Macaca mulatta: one gene and its partners. The protein of the gene in region 2 interacts with the protein of the main gene of each other region in a pairwise test. Links are inferred from orthologs where the notes say so. Each region holds a gene or a part of one and is shown on either strand. Other genes may lie near its edges.

What was found. The genes of interacting proteins can lie anywhere in the genome.
Region 1: the proteins of FATE1 (region 2) and LNPEP interact in binary tests that used the Homo sapiens proteins (3 or more experiments, as listed by UniProt). The two-hybrid records come from large-scale screens. The link is inferred for Macaca mulatta from reciprocal best matches to the Homo sapiens genes FATE1 and LNPEP.
Region 3: the proteins of FATE1 (region 2) and TRAF3IP3 interact in binary tests that used the Homo sapiens proteins (3 or more experiments, as listed by UniProt). The two-hybrid records come from large-scale screens. The link is inferred for Macaca mulatta from reciprocal best matches to the Homo sapiens genes FATE1 and TRAF3IP3.

What each region holds. Positions count from the first base shown.
Region 1 is NC_133411.1:103,290,584-103,294,801, forward strand, and holds the start of LNPEP (leucyl-cystinyl aminopeptidase), read left to right. Parts: upstream 1-1,381; 5' UTR 1,382-2,460; coding exon 2,461-2,479; intron 2,480-4,218. UniProt on the Homo sapiens protein: Release of an N-terminal amino acid, cleaves before cysteine, leucine as well as other amino acids. Degrades peptide hormones such as oxytocin, vasopressin and angiotensin III, and plays a role in maintaining homeostasis during pregnancy.
Region 2 is NC_133426.1:157,958,337-157,960,703, forward strand, and holds the end of FATE1 (fetal and adult testis-expressed transcript protein), read left to right. Parts: intron 1-206; coding exon 207-313; intron 314-721; coding exon 722-800; intron 801-1,444; coding exon 1,445-1,576; 3' UTR 1,577-1,833; downstream 1,834-2,367. UniProt on the Homo sapiens protein: Involved in the regulation of endoplasmic reticulum (ER)-mitochondria coupling. Negatively regulates the ER-mitochondria distance and Ca(2+) transfer from ER to mitochondria possibly implicating it in the regulation of apoptosis.
Region 3 is NC_133406.1:67,512,593-67,516,899, reverse strand, and holds the start of TRAF3IP3 (TRAF3-interacting JNK-activating modulator), read right to left. Parts: upstream 2,838-4,307; 5' UTR 2,733-2,837; intron 1,892-2,732; coding exon of another isoform or gene 1,834-1,891; coding exon 1,489-1,833; intron 1-1,488. UniProt on the Homo sapiens protein: Adapter protein that plays essential roles in both innate and adaptive immunity. Plays a crucial role in the regulation of thymocyte development.

The DNA.
Region 1 (4,218 bases), on a different chromosome or scaffold from region 2:
TCCAAGAGAATATGACATGACCTAAAATATAGAGAAGAGCATCTTATTTAAGCAATACAATGTGTGAAGTATGTTAACAAAATCTAGCTCTGCATATACTGTATAATATCTGAACTGGGATACATCAGCCCCTGTGGTTCACTATTTTTGGTTCTGAAATGCCAGCACAAGGGGCCAGCCTAAGGGCTCTGATTACCTTTCACACATTAGGAAGACAGCAACTCTGACATATCATATGATACAGAAACCTTCTCTGTACTGATCAAACACATCATTCAGTATGGAGTCATTAACTGGAAGGGCTTGCAGCAGTGGAAGTGAACTCTAAACACCACTACGTCCTTCACTTATTCACGCAAAAATTATTTATTGTATACTTACCCACGCATTGGGGATACAGCTTTAAAAAGGATTACGACCCTGCCCTCACAAAGCTTGCATTCTTGAGAGGGAGACTGATAATAAACAACAAATCCACAACGTTGTTTCAGACAGTGATGAGGGCTGAGAAGGAAATAAAGCAAGGCCAAGTCTTTATAGAGTGTGGCTATTTTAGATGTATGGTCAGACAAGGGTTCTTTGCAGAGGTGACATCTGAGCTGAGACTTAAATGACAAGATGGAATCAGTAGGCAAAGTACTAAGCAAAAGAAACGGCTCTTGTGCGAAGAGCGAGCAAAAGGAATGATTAACAATGATGGATGGAACTTGGCGACTTCCAGGAACAGCATGAAGGCCTCTGTGACCAAAACATGGTGAGAATGTGCTGATGAGGTCCCAGAGTTAGGCAAGGAGTTTCATTTTTTTTTTTTCTAAGTGCAGTTGGTATGCACTGGAAGTTTCAAGTAGAGCGTGGATTGTGAGGGATGTAATAACAACAGACAGTTTAAAATACAATATTGTACTTCGATTTGACTTCTTCGAAACCTAGTTTCCAATTCCAGTGCTGGTCAAACAACACCCTGGCCGTCCCTGTTTGCGCAGGCTGTTTGCGCTCGCCGCGGCTTGTTTGTCCCTGGCGCCCCGCTGTTGACAGCCTCGGAGCGTGTGACAGTTGGCAGGCGCAGTGAGGCGCAGCCCGAGCCAAGTCAATGCAGGGGCCGGGGCTGAGGGAGGGGAAGAGGCAGAGGAAGCGGTGGTGGCGCGCTGGGAGGGCGGCGGCCTCTGCAGCGAGGGTGGTGGCGATGCGCAGACCGAGAGGGGGAAAAGGAAGCCTTCCCCGAAGAGCCTCCTGGGGGCTCACGGGGCCCCTGGCGGTTCGGCCCCGGAGGCTAGCGGGGCTGCCCGATTTGGCACTGGAAACAATGGTGGCTCGGGGCTGGAGGCAATTGCGCGAGAGCTGGGGGGCAGGGGCGACTAGGGGAGTTTCGGTTTCTCGGGCCTAGCGCCGCGGAGCCTTGCTGCGAGCCCCAGCGGTGGCACCCCCGGGAACCGCAGGTGTTGATTTAAGGCTTGGAACAGGCAGGCCTTCTGCCCACATCCTGCGGCGCCTGTGATCCGGCCCGGGCGATCCGGCGCCGGGTTTTGTTATCCGCCCGCACCTAGAGGCCGCGCCCGCAGCCGCCAGCCCCGGGACTGGACCCCAGGGCGCCCTCGGCCCTGGACCCCGGGGAGCCCTCGGCCCTGCGGGGTCCCTGCCCTCTCTTCCGTCTCCTCCTCACCGCCCTCCCGGGGCACTATGATGCGGGAGGGCATCCCTGCCGAAAAGACCTACAGCGCCCGTTCCCTCGGTCCTTCGAAAAGTGATCCCTCGGCGGCCAACCTCCCCAGGGAAACCGGCGATTCGCAGTTCGGATAGCGACCTTCGCCCGCAGGTTCCTGCTCTGCCTTCAGACCTCGGCTTCAGTGGCACCTGCTCAGCGAGGCCGTGTCCCACCAAGCCATCCGAATTAGCTACCCACTCACTCGCCATCACGTCACCCCGATTTAATGCGCAGCGGGGCACTGACTTTACACTCGTGTGTCTTCTGTGTTTATTTATGGTCTGTTTCTGGAATGTCCGCACCTGGGACTGGGACCATGTTTTCTGGCGCAGTGCGGGTGTCTCGGCGTCCAGAATCGGGCGGGTCGCAGTAGGGCTCCACAATTGTTGAGTGACTGAACACGGTTCCCGGCCAGGGAGAGCGCCGCAGCCAGGTCCACTTCAGGCAGTGACGGGGCGGGGCTTTCCCGGCCCCGCCCAGGCCCCGCCCCAGCGCGCACCCGCTCCCACCTCGCCTCTCCGCTGAGCCGCCGGGGGTTAGACTGTGCATTTCCCTCTTGCTTCCCTCGCTCTTTCTGCAGCCGCCACGAAAACCCGGAACGGCGGAGCCACCGAGCGGCGGAGCGGCGCCGCCCCTCGCGGCACCTCCCTGGCAGCCCCTGGAGGCCGCGCTGGGCATGCTCAGTCGGCTGGGCCGCCTCAGCTTTCGGAGTAGGAAGCTCGGGCGCTCGGGCTGTGAGGAGCCGCGGCGGGGGGAAAATGGAGCCCTTCACCAATGGTGAGTGGGCAGCCGAGGCGCCGGGACCCAGGCTCTCCGGAGCCCCGAGGGTCGTGGGCAGTCGTGATACGCGGGATCGGGCTGCTGCCGTCACCCCCCACACCGCGGGCTTCCCACGAGGGTTGGGGGAGGCAGGCAGAGGGATCTAGGGGAGGCAGGGAGGTTCGGGGGGCGGGCGGCGGCCAGTGCGGGACCCGGAGCTGGCGTGAAGGTCAGCGCCGCCGCCGCTCGCCCGGGGTGCGGCCGGTGGGCGAACCGCAAAGTTTGGGCTGCTGTGCGCAGAGGAGTGGGCAGTGGGAAAGTTGGCAGCTCAGGTTTGCCCCCGGAGGAGGCGGTGTCGGGCCGACTGTCCTGCAGGAGCTTTAAGCTGTGGCAGCCGCCGAGCCCAACTTTTGTGGGGCGCCAGGAGCTGTCCCCCTGCCCTTCAGTGAGCTGCCGGCGTGACTTTTCCTAATAGGGCGGGGTGGGGGTGGGAGGCTTGGCAGGTTAATGTTGTGGAAGGAAGGAAAACTTCAGGAAAGGCTTGCTCACCTCGCTCGGGGCCGCAGAGGTGCCTTCCCGCAGTGTCACCCTGCTGACCCTGCCGAGGTACTCCGCCGGGCCACCACGCTTCCCCTCACTGGCTGCAGATCATATCAGTTTTTCAGTCAAAGACTTGTTCATGTCAAGGGTCCGTCACGGTGATACCACTGTGTGACAGGAAGCGAGAGTCAACGTAGGGAGCCTGCACCCTGCAAACAGCCACAGACAGCCCTTCACTGAATGGGGGGCATAAATCCCACACTAGTTAGAACGATGGCTTTTGTGCGACCCAGAAGTGCCAGACCCACGATACAGGGGTGAGATGAGATGTCTTACCATTTTGCGGTGTTGAGTGTGTGGATTCCCTTTTAAGATAGAAAGTAGGAAAACTGCCAGTAAGGGAGACGACCCACTAAAATTAGAGGATTCACTCTCTGGTTGACATGTTTTCCTGAGTATGGTTGGTTACTTCAAGTAGAGTATCCCATTAATAGGGGCCTCAGTCTGTCCCTGTTTAGGTACGTTAGTTACCCAAATCCCAGCCAGACTTTGTTGTATGCTGTGCTTCATTCATGAGGCTGCGAACTACTGATTATATTCTCCCTTCTCTTAATATAGAATGCTTTATTCTACTGCCATCTTTCTGTCTGTACTGTTTAATTAGGCTTACTGATAACAACTTTAATTCTGAATTGTTTTTCTCATTCAGGTTCTGTTTGTAATTACTAAAACTTAAAGAATAGTCTGGTGAAGTTACTCGAAGAATTAAGGAAGGTTTGAGCTAAAAGGAACTAGAGAGACCATCTAGTACTTTAGTGTAAAATATGTTTAATATAAGTCGTTAAGTCCTTGTAAGTGACTATTTCAATGCTTATTCTTTGTTCTTGGTAGAATGCTTGGAGTTACCATGTTTTTAAATGTGAAATTTCATCTAAATTAAAAAAAAAAAATTCTCAGTGACAAGGCTGACTCACCCATTTGGTCAAGATTAGTGCTAGCTGATTTGATGAACCTTTGCCTACAGAATTAAAGTACTTTCTCAAGTTTTAAAATTGGCGTCTTTTCTCTCATAGAATATGCTTCTAGATGTGGGTATTTGCAAACTGTCACATTTGGGAGGACAATGGAAAAATCCCACAGAAGAGAACAAAAAAAGAAGCAATGCTTCAACTTTCATGTAGGAAATTGGATTTCTGATCCTTTCCTATCTTTCGGAG
Region 2 (2,367 bases):
CGAGGAGCATGGTGCGGGTGGGGTGGTGGCCAGCAGCCTGTGTGGAGTTCCCAAGCTTTCCTAGAGGCCTGAAGCTGCCAGCCCTTGATTCCAGAGACCAGGCACCATGTGACTCCCCATGGGGTGCACCATTGGTTCTGGGCAAACTGGGGAAGCCACTCACGTGGGGCTGGGCAGGCTACTTTACTGATCATTCCTTTCTTCAGGGGTCCCAGCTGCCAATGCCCAGAATGCTGAGAGAATCAGGCCATGGGGATGCCCATCTCCAGGAGTACCCTGGCAATTTCCAAGGCATGCGTTTCCATTATGATCGGTAAGAGCTGAGGGTCTGTGGGCCCTGGCTGCTCAGACAGGGCCCAGAGTGGGGCGGAGGGGCTGGTGAGCAGCTTGGCCAGGACGGAGTCATGAGGGCCTGGAATGCCTCCCTGTCAGAGACCATGAGCACCCTGGCTCCCTGCCCATTTGGGGCATCCCAGTGCTCTGTGGGCTAGCCGAGTTGGGCTGGGCCAGGCTGGGCCAGGCTGGCTCAGGCTAGCTCAGGCTGACTCCCAGTCCTCAAGGCCCTAGGCCCTCTTTACCATGGGAGAGGACTGGAGGCTCATAGTCACTGTCCAAGAAGTTCCTGACCTTACCTGCTTGACCTCATTGCCTTCTTGTGCTCACTGCCAGGTCCTGCCGGGGCCACCAGCAGCTTTGACCCTCTGTCTTTTTTCTCTCCCAGCAACCCAGGTACAGATGCAGTGGCACAGACTAGCCTGGAAGAGCTCAATGTACTGGAGATGGAAGTCATGAGAAGACAGGTGAGGAGGGACCCAATTGGTGGGTGCAAGCAGAATCACAATGCCTTGGAGTAGTCAGGGCTCAACATCTGGGGTCTTGTAGCCCCTTACAGTCATCTTTCCCTTTAGCGCTGGAGGTAGGGCAGATTCCCTTCCTTTTCCTCCTCATCCCCATGGCTCTGACCCAGGTAGATGTCCAATCTCAAACCTACTGCTGTCCCTGAGATGCTGGCAGGGAATAGGGGCCGATAAAAGGTAAAGGAAGAGGGAACATACAAGGATAAGTGTTCTATGTCCAGAGAGAGAGTGATACCCAACAGTCTGAGAGAGGGGTCGCCTTTGTTCAAATCAAACCCAGACCTTCTCAGGAGGAGACCCTTCCTCCCTTGGCCCCCCGGAGCAGCTGGAATGGGCTGGCCTCTTCCAGAGAATGGAAGTGAGCATCAAGGGAGAAGGCAGAAGTAGCGACTGCAGACGCAGCAGCCAAGTCTTTGGTCCAGCGGACCTGGCCCAGCCCCCTGCTTCTCACTAGGGGCACTCCCCGCTCCACCGCCAAAGGGCAATCAAGCCCCTTCTTGCTTTAACTTTATGCTTTTCCGATGGCTGAGCTGTGGGCTTCTGGAGAAGAGCCTGGCTCAGTAGTCCTCCCTTTGGCTCCTCTGCAGCTATATGCAGTCAACCGGCGTCTGCGCGCCCTGGAGGAGCAGGGCGCCACCTGGCGCCAGAGGGAGACCCTGATCATCGCCGTGCTGGTGTCAGCCAGCATAGCCAACCTGTGGCTGTGGATGAACCAGTGATCGCCCCCGCGCGGCCTCCGTATTGGAGCCCTCCCTGCTTCCCCTTCTTTCTTTCCTCTTTCCCTGGGCCGCCATTGCCCATCCCCCTTTTATCTCCCAGCAGCCCTCAGGCAGCGTCAGGGTCATTTTCAGCTCTGGTTAGGCCTCCTACCTGGGGAGGTCAGGTCACTGCATTGGGAGGTCCTGGCTGCTGCGAAGGTGGAGGAGGACTGCATGGGCTGAGATGCCATCCTTTGAAGGGTGAAGAGCATGGCGGCATCTGGACGCCACAGTAACACCTAGTGGCAACCTTGCCTTCCTGACCTCAGCGGCCCTTCTGTTCCATCCTCTGTGGGCAGGGGTGTGGCTTTGTTTTCCTCCCTCGTTTGCTTCCACCTCGTGCACAACGCTCTGCGCAAACATCATGCTCAATAAAAGTTCCGCCATAGCAGCAAAACTCTGTGGCTGAGGTTCCTGTGTCCAGCACTCATTTGGGGCAACAGTGGGGTTGGGGTGCACTGAGGAACAACAGCGCCTCTTCACAAAGACCTTGTGGCTGGGACTGAGCCTCTGCCATTGCCCCAGGTGCCCTGGTTTCCTCCTCCCTTTCACCTTCCCCGCCTCACTGTCCCCAGCCCCAGCTTTGCAAAGTTCTTCCTGTTGGGCTGATGCAAATGGGTGCTTGTGGGTGTGTGGTTCTGGGAGCATGTCTGGACTGTGTTGCAGGGATGCAATCAGAGGAAATCTCCTGAAAGGGACCAGAAACATTCTCATTTGCACAAGAGGAAATTGAATTCCAGAGGGAGGAAACA
Region 3 (4,307 bases), on a different chromosome or scaffold from region 2:
CTACCTTGTTTGGTTTTGGCCACTTAGATAGCCAGCATGGTGATATGGAAAGAGAACTGGTCTGAGTGGCCACTAAGGGGATCTGGGTTCAGATCCCATCTTTTCTAGGTCTCAGTCTTCTGTCTGTGTAGTGAGGAGTTTGGAATAATCTATAAGATTCCTTCCATATTCGAAGGAAAACTTCCTTTCTCTTAGTAACAGCTAGAAAATCATTGAGGTTTTGTGTGAAGACTAGGTAAAGTGGGGAGTTGTGGGGAGGTTTTTTGCTTTAGTAAACAGTTTGTTTTCTTTTGCAACTGGGCTCTGGGATCATTGCTCTGAGCAGTATCTCCTATTGAGCATAACAGATCCACTAGTTAAGAAGCCCTAATGGAGTACCCACTCTGGGTAGGACACAATGCCAAGCATTTCCACGGAACATAGTGGACACATCCCTGCTGTCAACATGCTCACAACCTCAGTAGGAAGACACAGATGGTTTGCTGGCCAACGTCATCTCAGCATACCCTGGTTTTTGCCAACACTGTTCCTTTCCAGGCCAGACTAATGGGCCCTCTAAGGGTTACACAATCTTGGAAGATTTTAACCTCACAAGGCCCGTAGACAGCAGAGGTGGCCTGGAGAAGCCAGGGAAGGCTTCCTGGACCAGATGAGGCTGTAGCCGAGTGATTTAATAGAATTGGAATAACACCAGAGAAAGAGAGAAGAGTGGGCACAACAGCCTTGCAGAAGAAGAGAGGACAGATATGTCTGTGTGTGTGTCAAAAGGATTGGCCTGTGTACTTGGCATATAATAAACTTTCAGTAAATATTTGGTGACTGATGGATGAATGAATGCTATAAGATAGCTGTAGAAGATATGTGTATATTGCCTAAGTTTGAACTGATATAGGTGTTAGCTTTGGAATTATTTTTATTTGTTTTATTTTAAGTTTTTTAGAGATAGGGTCTCCCTTTGTTGCCCAGGCTGGAGTACAATGGTGTGATCATAGCTTATTGCCGCTTTAAACTCCTGTGTTCAAGTAATCCTCCCATCTTTGCCTCCTGATTAGTTAGGACTACAGGTGTGCACCACCATGCCTGGCTAGTTTGTAAAGTTTTTGATAGAGACAGGGACTTGTCTCTATCAAAAAACTGGTCTCGAACTCCTGGCCTCAAGTGATCCTCCTGTCTTGGCCTTCCAAAGTGCTGGGATTACAGGTATGAGCCAACATGCCCAGCCTGGAATTGTTTTTAAAAATTATTTTTCTCTCTCTTACAAGTCAAGTGCAGAACAAAAAGAGCTAAACAAACAAAAACACAACAGCAAAAATCTCTGAATAAGTAGCTGTTGGCAACTTTACTATAAGAAGCTCTTAGCAACTTTACTATATGACTGAGGAAGAAGGACTTAATTTAGATCACTTTTAGCGACCTTGAGCCCACCCACCCTCCTTGTCCAGAGAGGGTCCCGGAGCACAGAGCAGTATGTCCCTTGACATGGCCCACCTGCTCTCTGGGAGAAGAGATCCTGCTGGCACAAGACAAAGGTTCCTTGAGGACAGTCACCTGGCCTGGCCGCCTGGAGGGCCCTTGCTCCCTGGCCTGGGGACGGTGCGCCTTGCCTTTCTCCTCTAGCTCCAGGTTCCTCCTCCTGAAGAACTGCTGCAGTCGAGCTCTCTGGAGCTGCTCTCTCTGCTGGATCCTCAGCGTCTTCCCCACCTGGCGGCAAGTGGTCACATTGGGACGGCAGCGGCGGCTTTCACGGGTCTCTTGCCTGCGCTCACACTTGGCCTCATAGCTCTCAGCCCACCGGGCCAAGCCAGGGGAGGGCCTGGGGTCTGGGCTGATCATGATGACCTCCAAGCACCTGTTGCGCTTGGCTTCCCGTTCCTGGAATAGATGCCTGGATCTGCCAAATGCCAAGAGGGAGGAGAAGGGGAGGGGTCAGAAGATGGGCAGAAAAATGACTATCTCCCTAGACCACGGGGCAGAAATAGCACAGAGTTCCATCCATGTGGGTTGAAAACTGAGGACATGGTGGTATCAAACTGGGAGTCAGGACTCTTGGGCTCAGTCTCTAATGAATGAATACAACCTTGTAACAGCGATTTCCTGCTCTTCTCTAGCTGATGTTTCCCCTTTGTAAAGTAAAACGGTCTCTATGGCTGCCACTTACTCCTTGACTGAACATCTTACCATGCCTCTAAGTCAGGGGAACATGATAAATAATTGATTAAAATAATAATGAGCTTATAGCCTCTTGGATGGCAGGTGTGTGTTCATTTTCCAGACTTCTAGAGAAACAGCCTAGTGAGCCCCTCTGCCCTCTTATCCCCCAGCTGAAAAAGAAAGTCAGTATCTTTACTGCTGTCTTGGTCCAAGCTGTTACTAACATAGTTGAGTGACACTTCTCAAGATCTGGAGGGCTAACCACACCCCACTCAGGTGGTGACCAGTCCTGTGACCAGCACCCGCTGCTCTCTTCTTGACTTTTAGCAACTAACTTATGAGTCTGGACCTGGCATGGTTTAGGAGGAAACCCTACCCTAATTCCTCCAACCTGCTGTGCTGACAATGGTCCATGGGCCCCCCACTCCAAGCTCAGGACTCGGCCGTGTCTCTCAGGTGCAGATCAAGTTCAATCAGTATTGACTGAGCATCTGCCACATGCCTAGTGCTGGCCTAAACCCATTTCAGAGCATCTGGCTCCAATACTCTTGGAGATGAGGGTTCCATTTCTTTAGGATCACCTTCTTGTCAGGGCTAATTCTGGTGCCAAGTCTGCTTTCCTTTGCCAAGACACAGATTGTGCCATCCAAACCCACAAGCACATGAATTAGACCTTAATAAGGCTGCTGCAAACAGAAAAGAAACAAAACAAAAATAGTAATCAGAAGTTTCCAGGGAGCCAGGCTTGGTGTAGGGGCCACAGGATGTCCCTCTGCATGGCTTTACCTGGTATTCACATAGCACTCAGACCCAAATCCCCTTTTCCTTCTCTGTGCCTTTCTCTTTCCTACTCTTCCCCACCTACCTTCTGCAGTTTATCCTACTAGAACCCTCTGGTCACTTTGCTGAGTTGGGCTGGACTTGGATTAGCTGGATCCTGAGCGTTGGAAATTCTGTGTCCTGCCTCCTCTGATCACTGGAGTCAGACCAGGGACTGATGAAGGAAGAGGGACTCCCCCTCACAGCTGCTGCTGCTTCTCTTCCTCCCACGACCTCATTACCCACCACCCTGGGAGGAGGGTATCTCAGCTTCACCAACCAGCAGGCGTTTGCTAGCTGTAACCCCTCGGGGTTTATTTATAGGCCAAACAGACTCAACAGGTAGCAGAGTCTCTGCCCCTATACTGGGACTTCGCTATCCTGGCTCAGTCTGGAATTCTCTGCAGGATTCTTGTTTTCTCTCTGATCCTACCACTCATTCCCCAGGGTCATGGGTGGTACAGTCTTCTTCCCTGAGAGGAGTTTTGGGTGGTCAAGCCCTGAACACTCAAATGCCTGACTCTTGAGGGTTGGAGGAGCGTACTCTGGTGTCAGGCAGCATTGATTCCAAACAGAAATGTGAGGTTGTTAATGTTTGTCCCCTACATACCCATTCTGAATGGCTCTCTTCTTTCTTTAGGTGTTTCTACTTACTCCTTCTTGGATAAGGGTGGGAGTGGGCATAGGGGATGGTCCCTTGACTTTCTCCCTGCCACTTTCTTTATTTAGAGACTTAAAAAAAAGGGTCTGGGCCAGGCGCGGTGGCTCAAGCCTGTAATCCCAGCACTTTGGGAGGCCGAGACGGGCGGATCACGAGGTCAGGAGATCGAGACCATCCTGGCTAACATGGTGAAACCCCATGTCTACTAAAAAATACAGAAAAAAAACTAGCCGGGCGAAGTGGCGGGTGCCTGTAGTCCCAGCTAGTCGGGAGGCTGAGGCAGGAGAATGGCGTGAACCCGAGAGGAGGAGCTTGCAGTGAGCTGAGATCCGGCCACTGCACTCCAGCCTGGGTGACAGAGCAAGACTCCGTCTCAAAAAAAAAAAAAAAAAAAAAAGGGTCTGACAGACCCATGTCTGTTGTTATAAATGACTGAATGGAAGAGACCCAGGATTATGTGCATGTGAACTCCATCTCTGGAACCTACACTCACAGCATCCCTGAGTCACAGCCCCTGGCTATTCTGCCATGGATTGCAGTGGAGAACCCTGGCTCTTGGAGTCACACTGTGTGGACTCATATCCTGGCTCTGTCACCTACTACCTGTGTGTGGTTTTAGGTAAGCTATTAAACATCTCTAAGCCCCAGTCTCTTCATTTATAAAATGGGGCTAGAT